Linked DNA regions of Daphnia pulex. The protein of the gene in region 1 binds, or shares a complex with, the protein of each later gene. Links are inferred from orthologs where the notes say so. Each region holds a gene or a part of one and is shown on either strand. Other genes may lie near its edges.

Evidence for each region. The genes of interacting proteins can lie anywhere in the genome.
Region 2: RNA-binding protein spenito-like (region 1) and N6-adenosine-methyltransferase non-catalytic subunit-like share a complex: the UniProt entries of both Drosophila melanogaster proteins name them as parts of the WMM complex. The link is inferred for Daphnia pulex from reciprocal best matches to the Drosophila melanogaster genes nito and Mettl14.

Annotation. Positions count from the first base shown.
Region 1 is NC_060023.1:11,551,285-11,555,320, reverse strand, and holds the start of RNA-binding protein spenito-like, read right to left. Parts: upstream 2,810-4,036; 5' UTR 2,668-2,809; exon of another isoform or gene 2,583-2,667; 5' UTR 2,534-2,582; coding exon 232-2,533; intron 166-231; coding exon 152-165; 3' UTR 1-151. Other genes in the region: mitochondrial inner membrane protease ATP23 homolog, read left to right, coding at 3,163-3,349, 3,422-3,467, 3,536-3,617, 3,689-3,874, 3,934-4,036. UniProt on the Drosophila melanogaster protein: RNA-binding protein that acts as an associated component of the WMM complex, a complex that mediates N6-methyladenosine (m6A) methylation of mRNAs. M6a modification plays a role in the efficiency of mRNA splicing and is required for sex determination.
Region 2 is NC_060026.1:13,578,768-13,582,356, forward strand, and holds N6-adenosine-methyltransferase non-catalytic subunit-like, read right to left. Parts: upstream 2,351-3,589; 5' UTR 2,221-2,350; coding exon 2,187-2,220; intron 2,128-2,186; coding exon 2,018-2,127; intron 1,950-2,017; coding exon 1,660-1,949; intron 1,600-1,659; coding exon 1,383-1,599; intron 1,323-1,382; exon of another isoform or gene 1,319-1,322; coding exon 1,109-1,318; exon of another isoform or gene 1,049-1,108; coding exon 876-1,048; exon of another isoform or gene 816-875; coding exon 569-815; 3' UTR 506-568; downstream 1-505. Other genes in the region: ABC transporter G family member 20-like, read left to right, coding at 1-234; DNA topoisomerase 2-like, read left to right, coding at 3,407-3,430, 3,569-3,589. UniProt on the Drosophila melanogaster protein: Non-catalytic component of the WMM complex, a complex that mediates N6-methyladenosine (m6A) methylation of mRNAs, a modification that plays a role in the efficiency of mRNA splicing and is required for sex determination.

The DNA.
Region 1 (4,036 bases):
TGGTTTTGTTTGTAGGGATAACAAAACGGCCAAACCCAGATGTCGTTCGTATGCTGGTGAAAAATCTTGGTAGCGGTTGGTAGAAGATTAAAGGTGTGCGCGGGCTTTGTCTGAGAGATGGTAGTAAATCAGTTGTCGATTGATTTGTGTTTTAAGCAGTTCCTCCTGTCAAAATAATACAATTGAAAGATATTAAAATATGAAACGATAGTTAGAAATGATTGAATATACCTTTAACTACAACTATCACCAAGTGATCATCCTTTAGAGTCTCGTCAGACAGAGACGGAGCTGCTCGTCGGAGTAGATCGGCAGCGAATGGGCAAGGAGGGAAGGCGTAAAGGACGCCAGTCACATCTGCATTCTTATTGGCCAGCGAGATGACACCAGCCGCTTCTTTCTGCTTGAGATAAGTCACGAGATTGCGAAGCGGACGATTCTGGACACCTGCAGCCTCGTCGGAAGTGGGACTGGAAGCTCCGCCTGTCGATCCGGGCAGGCCGAGGAAGATGGCGTGAGACGCAGAAGCTGAAACTCGACGGGAAACGTCTTCCAGTTTGGGCGGATCCAACCTCAATCGCTGAGTAATTCGCAAATGAGGCTGGTTCTTCTCGTCGTGAAGCAAAAGATCGGCGATCGCCGCTTCGCCAGATGTCGCGTGTAATTTCGTGGGGAAAAACGAATTCTTGAGTACCAAGGCGCCCGTCCAATTGCTGGGAGAACGTCGAGCCACTTCCGCCAGCGTACGGGATCCAGTGAATCTTCCACCGTCGTCGGTTCGCCTTTCATTCGACGGCGATCGGGAACCTCCTCGGGCAGCGTCAAAATCATCCGGTGGAGGACGTCGGCTGCTGTTTGCCGACCAATCGTCACCATCGGCTCCTGATCCTCGATATCCGCTAGGCCTCTTCTCGTAGCCACTTCGGTTTCCTCGACCCGTCCGACCGGATCCCGCACGATAATTGGGATCATCTCCATTGTTCCAGTTGGTTTCGCCGGCATAATCGTCGCCAGCTCCACTTCTAGCGGTGGCAGCATCGTAGGAAGAAGACGATCCTTTAGTCTTGGCAGTTGGCGGATGAGCTGTCGGGGGATTGGTGTCAACAAAGTCAGTTTTCAGTTTCCGATCCGGGCCGCCCAGACAAAAGCCTCGCATGTCCTGAACGGCTGCTTGAGCTGCCTCAATCGTCTCGTACAAAATGTAAGCCGACGTGTCTCCTTTGTTGTATTCGATCTTCTTAATGGCGCCGAAACGGTCAAATTCACGCTCCAATTGTGCCAGCGACGTCCACGAGCCCAAACCTCCGACCCAGATGCGTGTAGTGGGCGTGGCTTTACCGTAACCGATCTTGACTTGAAATTTGCCAATGTACTGGCCAGAAAGCTCGACTTTACACCGATTGGCCTGGTCCAAATTCTCGAAACGAACAAAGGCGTAAGCGTTGCCAGTGCCTGGAGGCGGTCTCTTGATGTCAACATCCTCGACGATGCCGTAATTGCCAAAGATGCGACGCAGCTCTTCCTCTGTTATGTTGATCTCCAGGTTACCGGCGAAAAGAGTCCGAGTAGCCAATGGATCCTCTTCTGGCGGGATGTGGTGCAAATAATTTGGGAAACGATCTTTCTTGTTCTCGTAGCGGTCGTGATTTCGATCTCCTCTTCCACCGCCTCCTTCTTCATTGCGACCTCCTCCACCTCCACCTCCGCCGCCGCCAGCTCCACCGCCTCCACCACCACCTCCTCGACTACCTCCACCTCGTTCACTTCTTTCATAATGGGGGACAGGTGGATGTCCTCCAGCGCCGTAATAAGAGTGACCACGGTAAGATGACGGTCCACGGGGAGGATAGTCGTACGGTGGTGGACGATAGTCTCTGTACATGCCAGTTGGAGGTGGAGGACCATATCCACGCAGAGAATAATCGTAACGATCGTCGTACATGCGGTGTCGATCATCTGGGGAACGAGGTCGAATGTAACGCTCTTCTTCGCCTCGGTATGGCAACGGTGAATAACTTCGTGAACGCGCCCTGGTGCTTCGCGCGGTAGAGGGTTCGTAAACAGGTTCGAGCACAGCTGGTTTGTCATACAAGATGATTCGCTGCTTGCTGTGCCTGGCTTCACGAGCATCTTCAGGGTTTCTGAATGAAACATAGGCCAAACGGTCTTCTGGTTCAGCACCGTGCACCAACTTGATGCTAACCTCACCATACTTTTTGAACTCTCTGTAGAGCGAGTCTTTGACAACTTCGTCACTGGCTTTGGGATGGATTGAGCTGACAAGGAGAGTCTTGTAACCAGTCGATGGGGGTGGTGGACGAGACCTTGGTGGTGGGTAGTCATCTCGTTCCCTCATCACTGGTGGATCGGGAGGCAGAGGGTATCTTGATCGGTGACTGGGGCTGGGTGAACGCCTACGTCTTGGAGGAGGAGCTCCACCTCTCTCATCATCAGAGCTTTCATCATAATGGCCTAGGCTTGAACGAGAGCGTTTGCTGAAAGGCGATGCATCACGGTCGGACACGCGTTTCATATTGAAGACTTGTCAAACAATCAACGATTCAATGTTAAACAACGTAAACCTAGCAACAAAGATGAATTATCACCAACGACATTTTCACAATCACGTCAATATTTGAGAATGGATGAAAAACTAAACACACTAACCAATAAAGTGGGTCTTGCGAACAGTTATGCAACGAGTATTTCTCACCGAACCAGAGCTTAAAAAGAACGCGTCCGAACAAGTAGAAGAAAATGGCGGAGCTCTATTCTGAGTTTGGACTCGGCTTTGACAATTTTAGCTTCTGGGGGTGGGGTTTCATTCCGTGGCAGCATTGCAAAATGCTACATTTTAGCAATTTATACCTAAGAATTTAATATCGAGAATTTCCAATTAAACTCTTTATTTTAATTGGGAAATATTTTGATTTGTTTTTTAATTTAATATATCAATCAATATTTTAACAAATTCCACACAATGCTGTAAAGCCATTCAGCCGGCAGTCTGTCGTCTGCTGAATAACACGGACAACTAAAAACAGCAAAAATTCAAAACAACCTCATTAAGTACCTGTAAAAGTAAAGACATCGTAAACTTTACTACGATGCATGTATTGTTATTCAGTGTTAATTGCATGTTTCTAGTCTAGGTGTATAATTATGTCGGATAAACCATCGGAAGCTGCACCTGTGGACAAAGAAGACAATTGGGGTTACGACTTGTACCCCGAAAGAAGGGGTGAAGCTGCACGTGCGAAATGGTGGCAGATTGCTTTGTTTGGTGCTGGTCAAACCAATGTAGAAAAAACTACATGTGAAAGGAATGTCTACAATTGCTTTGAAAACAGTAAACATCTCTGAACTTACGTTTTCTTACAAAATTCAGTTGTAAATTAATCCTTCCATTTGATTCATTTAGGTCCTCTTGTTAAGTTAATGTACAGTGCATTAAAATCATCTGGATGGTATGAAATAAAATTAAGGTTTTTTAAATTTCATTTATGCTGCAATATCTTCTCGCATTTTGACATAGTGAAATTGATTTGAGGAGACACATTGCCTGTGAAGTTTGTGATGTCTCGGTTTCTGGTGGCTATGATCCAAAACTTAATCAAGTAAATATTACAGATAATAAATAGTCCTTTTTTCTCAATTAATAATGATAATCTTTTGATTATGTCTATAGATAGTAGTATGCCAGAATGTAGTTCGGAACAAGGGAATAATTCAAGGAATTTTGACACACGAAATGATTCACATGTTTGACGCATGTCGACACCAACTTGATTTTAAAAATATCCACCATTTGGCGTGCACGGAAATCAGAGCAGCTAACCTGACCCATTGTAGTTTCATGTCGGCCATGTTTCAGGTAAAAAAGTGTGTGATCAAAACGTTGAGCAACCTTTTATATGGCTTTTTAATCTACAGGGAGACGCTTCGCCTTTCCGAATCCGTAAACAACACGCCGAATGCGTCAAAATGAAAGCATTGGGCTCAGTGATGGCCGTCCGTCCAGACGTCACGAAAGAAG
Region 2 (3,589 bases), on another chromosome or scaffold:
TTACTGATGGGAGGCATTTGTTGGCCGGTAGAAGGGATGCCTCCGGCATTACAAAAGGTTGCCCGTTTCCTACCGGTCACGTATGGCATCGAGTGTTTGAGAAGTATTCTTTCCCGCGGTTGGGGAATTGAAATGCCTGATGTCTACATGGGATTTTTAGTAAGCTTTGCATGGATATTTGGATTGACGATATTGACGTTGACAGTTATTCGCTACCGCAAATTTTCGAGCTAAAACAGCCGGTCCATCTATAAGTGAATCAAATTTCCAATTCGTAAGTTATTCGTATTAACAAGTATGCCACGGTTCATTTAACCTATTCTGAATTAACAAATAGCTGTCAATTTTTTGTCTAACTCTACCAAACAATATTAATTTTGCCTGATACCAATGGCAATAAAGTTATCAAATTGTTTTGTAATTTAAACAGAATCATCTATTCGCGTCATTTCCTTAAATGCGTTACACAATTTTATCTTAACTTTCGAAGTGTTGCAAAACAGAATTGAAAACTCAAAACGTTTATTTGCAATTTAATGCCTTAGAAATTAATTAAGTAATGCTTATTTCATCTTCCCCTGCCACGCGCTGCGCCCCGAGTAAAACCTCCGCGTCCACCTCCTGCCCCTTTGCTGCCTTTGGGTGGAGGAGATTTAGGGCGAAGAGCTTCAATCCTTTCTGTGCATCCGGTAGTCGTACAGTTACTATTAAAGTAGCCAGCGTATGTTTCTGCGTTGTAGTTGCTGTTTGTTAACGCTGGACCAACCGTCAACCAACCCGGTCGAATAGTACTGTCTCGCCCGAATAAGTGGAGCCTTAAAAATTAATTATTAATTAAAATTCTAATGAAGTGACCGTAAAAATAAATTCCTAACCTCCTTTTGCCAAGACAAAAATGTTCAATGATGTTGAAAATTTCGGACGGTTTCTCCAGAGATCCATACTCGGGTTCTTCCGTAATTATCAAATCGATATCGACATTGGCATGGATGAAATCTCCGTCCGTGGAACGCCTAACTGTTCCTTTGATTCCCATCAGACAATGCTCCTACTCAAAATCAGTACATCAGTAAAAGCATTTGGTTAGACGAAATTGAAATGGTCTTACTTTGGTTCGCTGGAAAACGGCTTTCTGCTCGAGGTTTTTCGAATGACCCGGAGCGTCTGCATTGGTTTTTATCCAGCAAATGTCTTCGCATCGCCGGAATCCCCATCGGCGCAAGCACACACGCCCCAAGTCTAGTCCATCACTGGAACCACACCACAAAAATATGAAACTCCTAGGAGCAGCAACTTCACCTATGTCGAGTTCCATAATCTAAGCGGAAAAAGAACCATTAATTCACAATCATTCATTATATTGTGGTTCAATATATATTTACCTGATCCCATGACAAAAAATCGACGTTGGTCACACCCAAAGAACGCTGGTATTCTTCCAAAGGAGGTTCAATGAGGATCACGTCAAATTTACAACCAATGTCTTTGAGATTAAACGTTTTTAAATCGGATTTCAGATACATGGGAGGCGAAGCTGTCTGGGCGATTAATTCATCTTTCAACCGAATAAGTTCCTTGAGCTTGGGATATTCTTCAAACCTATAAAAATGGTTAATTTAGTAGGTAATTGCTTTAGGGAAGATTTGCCCAATCATTTACCTATCAGCCAAGCCAACATCTCTTATAAAGTTTTGGGGTCTCTGTCCAGTATCAACAAAATGTTGGCAGTAATCATTGTGAGGGTTGGAAGACTGTGTTCCTTTTAGAAAGGTTGACGAATCAGTGTAAAGCAGTTTTGTCTCTTCGTCTTGTTGACTTCCGTCGGCATTAGCATTCTTTTTTATGTATTTCTCTGAAGGTCTAAGTAATTCCATTCCTGGTTCTGCTTTGGAACTATCTGTGCCACTTCCCAATGCCTCTTTCAATTTCTCCACTGACTGCATTCCCAACTGGTTAAAAAAACGTAAGCTAAGATTGAAAATGTGAATTTTTAAACTAAAGCACAATAAATACTCACGGTCTGTACGAGACATTGTTTCCGTTTTCTGGACAATTCTCTTCTCTGTTTTAGAAGGTCCACTTTATCCATATTAAGAGAGTTTTCTTCTTCTGTGACAGTTGTCTCTGCTAAAGGGAGAAGGCAGTGATACAGATTGTATTGATTCAGCCACTTAAATTGATTTCACCTTGTACACTGGAATTATCCACATAATTTGCCATTATAGATATCAAATGCTTAAATACCGACACAGTGCTCAATGTTGACTGTGGAGTACACCTTTAACATATCAAAACATTTAAAAACCCTAACCATTCAATAGTCCGCCATTATTATTTACCTTAGTTGCCGCTTGTAAATCAATGTCTTGTTTCGATATTTGATGAAAAGGGCAAAATATACTTGCAAGCATGAAATATCAAAGCACTTAATTTGAATTCTATCGGTTAAAATAAGATTTAAAATAATATTGATTAATTAATTGAAACCGTCAGCGGCCGAATTAACCATGGCCGAACTCCGGTATTTCAAAACTCAAAAATTTAAAATTTCGAAAGTCATTTGCAAGTTGAAATATATTAAAATTTTAAAAAGTATGCAAACTGAATACATTTGAATATCTGCATGTCACAATATTACAGAAAAAGCAAGCTCCGGCAAAGATGTTTCGGCTCGTTTTCGGCACATCAGCGATCAGCGGGATTCCTCATTGTTGCTGTTTAGTATCTACCAAGGGCAAAATTTACACGCTGTGTTAAAAGTGAGCAGAGAGGTACCGTCAGTGTCTCGAATCTTTGAGAGAAACGCGCCCTTTTCACTCTAAACTGAAGCGAAACAATCAAAGACATTACATTAGAGCTCAACCAGCATGGTTTGAGAGTTTTTCTACACGGAAAAGGATCGAAAAAGCACCTTTTCGTTGTTTTAGATTCTATTTATTCACAAAGTAGTACGGCTTTCTTCACAAATTTACAAAGTTGTTAAAGCACAAGTACTCATCTGAGTCGCAGACAATCTTATTTTTTGGCTTTTTAAAGTCAACAGGAAAAGGTAAGCTTGTTTTGTGTTGTCAAGTGTTAATTTATCAATTAAATCATTGTACCAAAAAAACCAATGTAATGTAACAGTATAACAGTAAGGGGTTTCCCAACCCCTTTAGACATCTCTAACAACCAATGAGAAACAAATAAATTTTTTTGACTTGGCGGTACCGAGTGGCAACGTTGTAGTTTCACTCAACGTTTCCGTTGGTTCGAAAAAAGTCGCTTCGAAATTTCAGTTTCACTCGACGCGTCGACAGTATTTTAAACGGCGTTTTTTTATAGTGGTTGTCATAGTGTATAATTTCCTAGGCAAATAGCCATTCTGTCCCTTTTATCGAATTTTAAGCTTATACTTTCGCCAAGGATGGCTTCTGATGGGCCATTAAAGGTAGTTGTTGAATGAAACTCACATGCTTTCAAGGTTACAACATGAATGTTTTGAAAGAAATTTTGTGATCCAAAACGTGACGTCTTACTATTCTTGATGTGAAGTGTGATCTAACATATTGTTTTTTTTTTTTTTTAGTCTTTGTTTGCAAAAATGAAC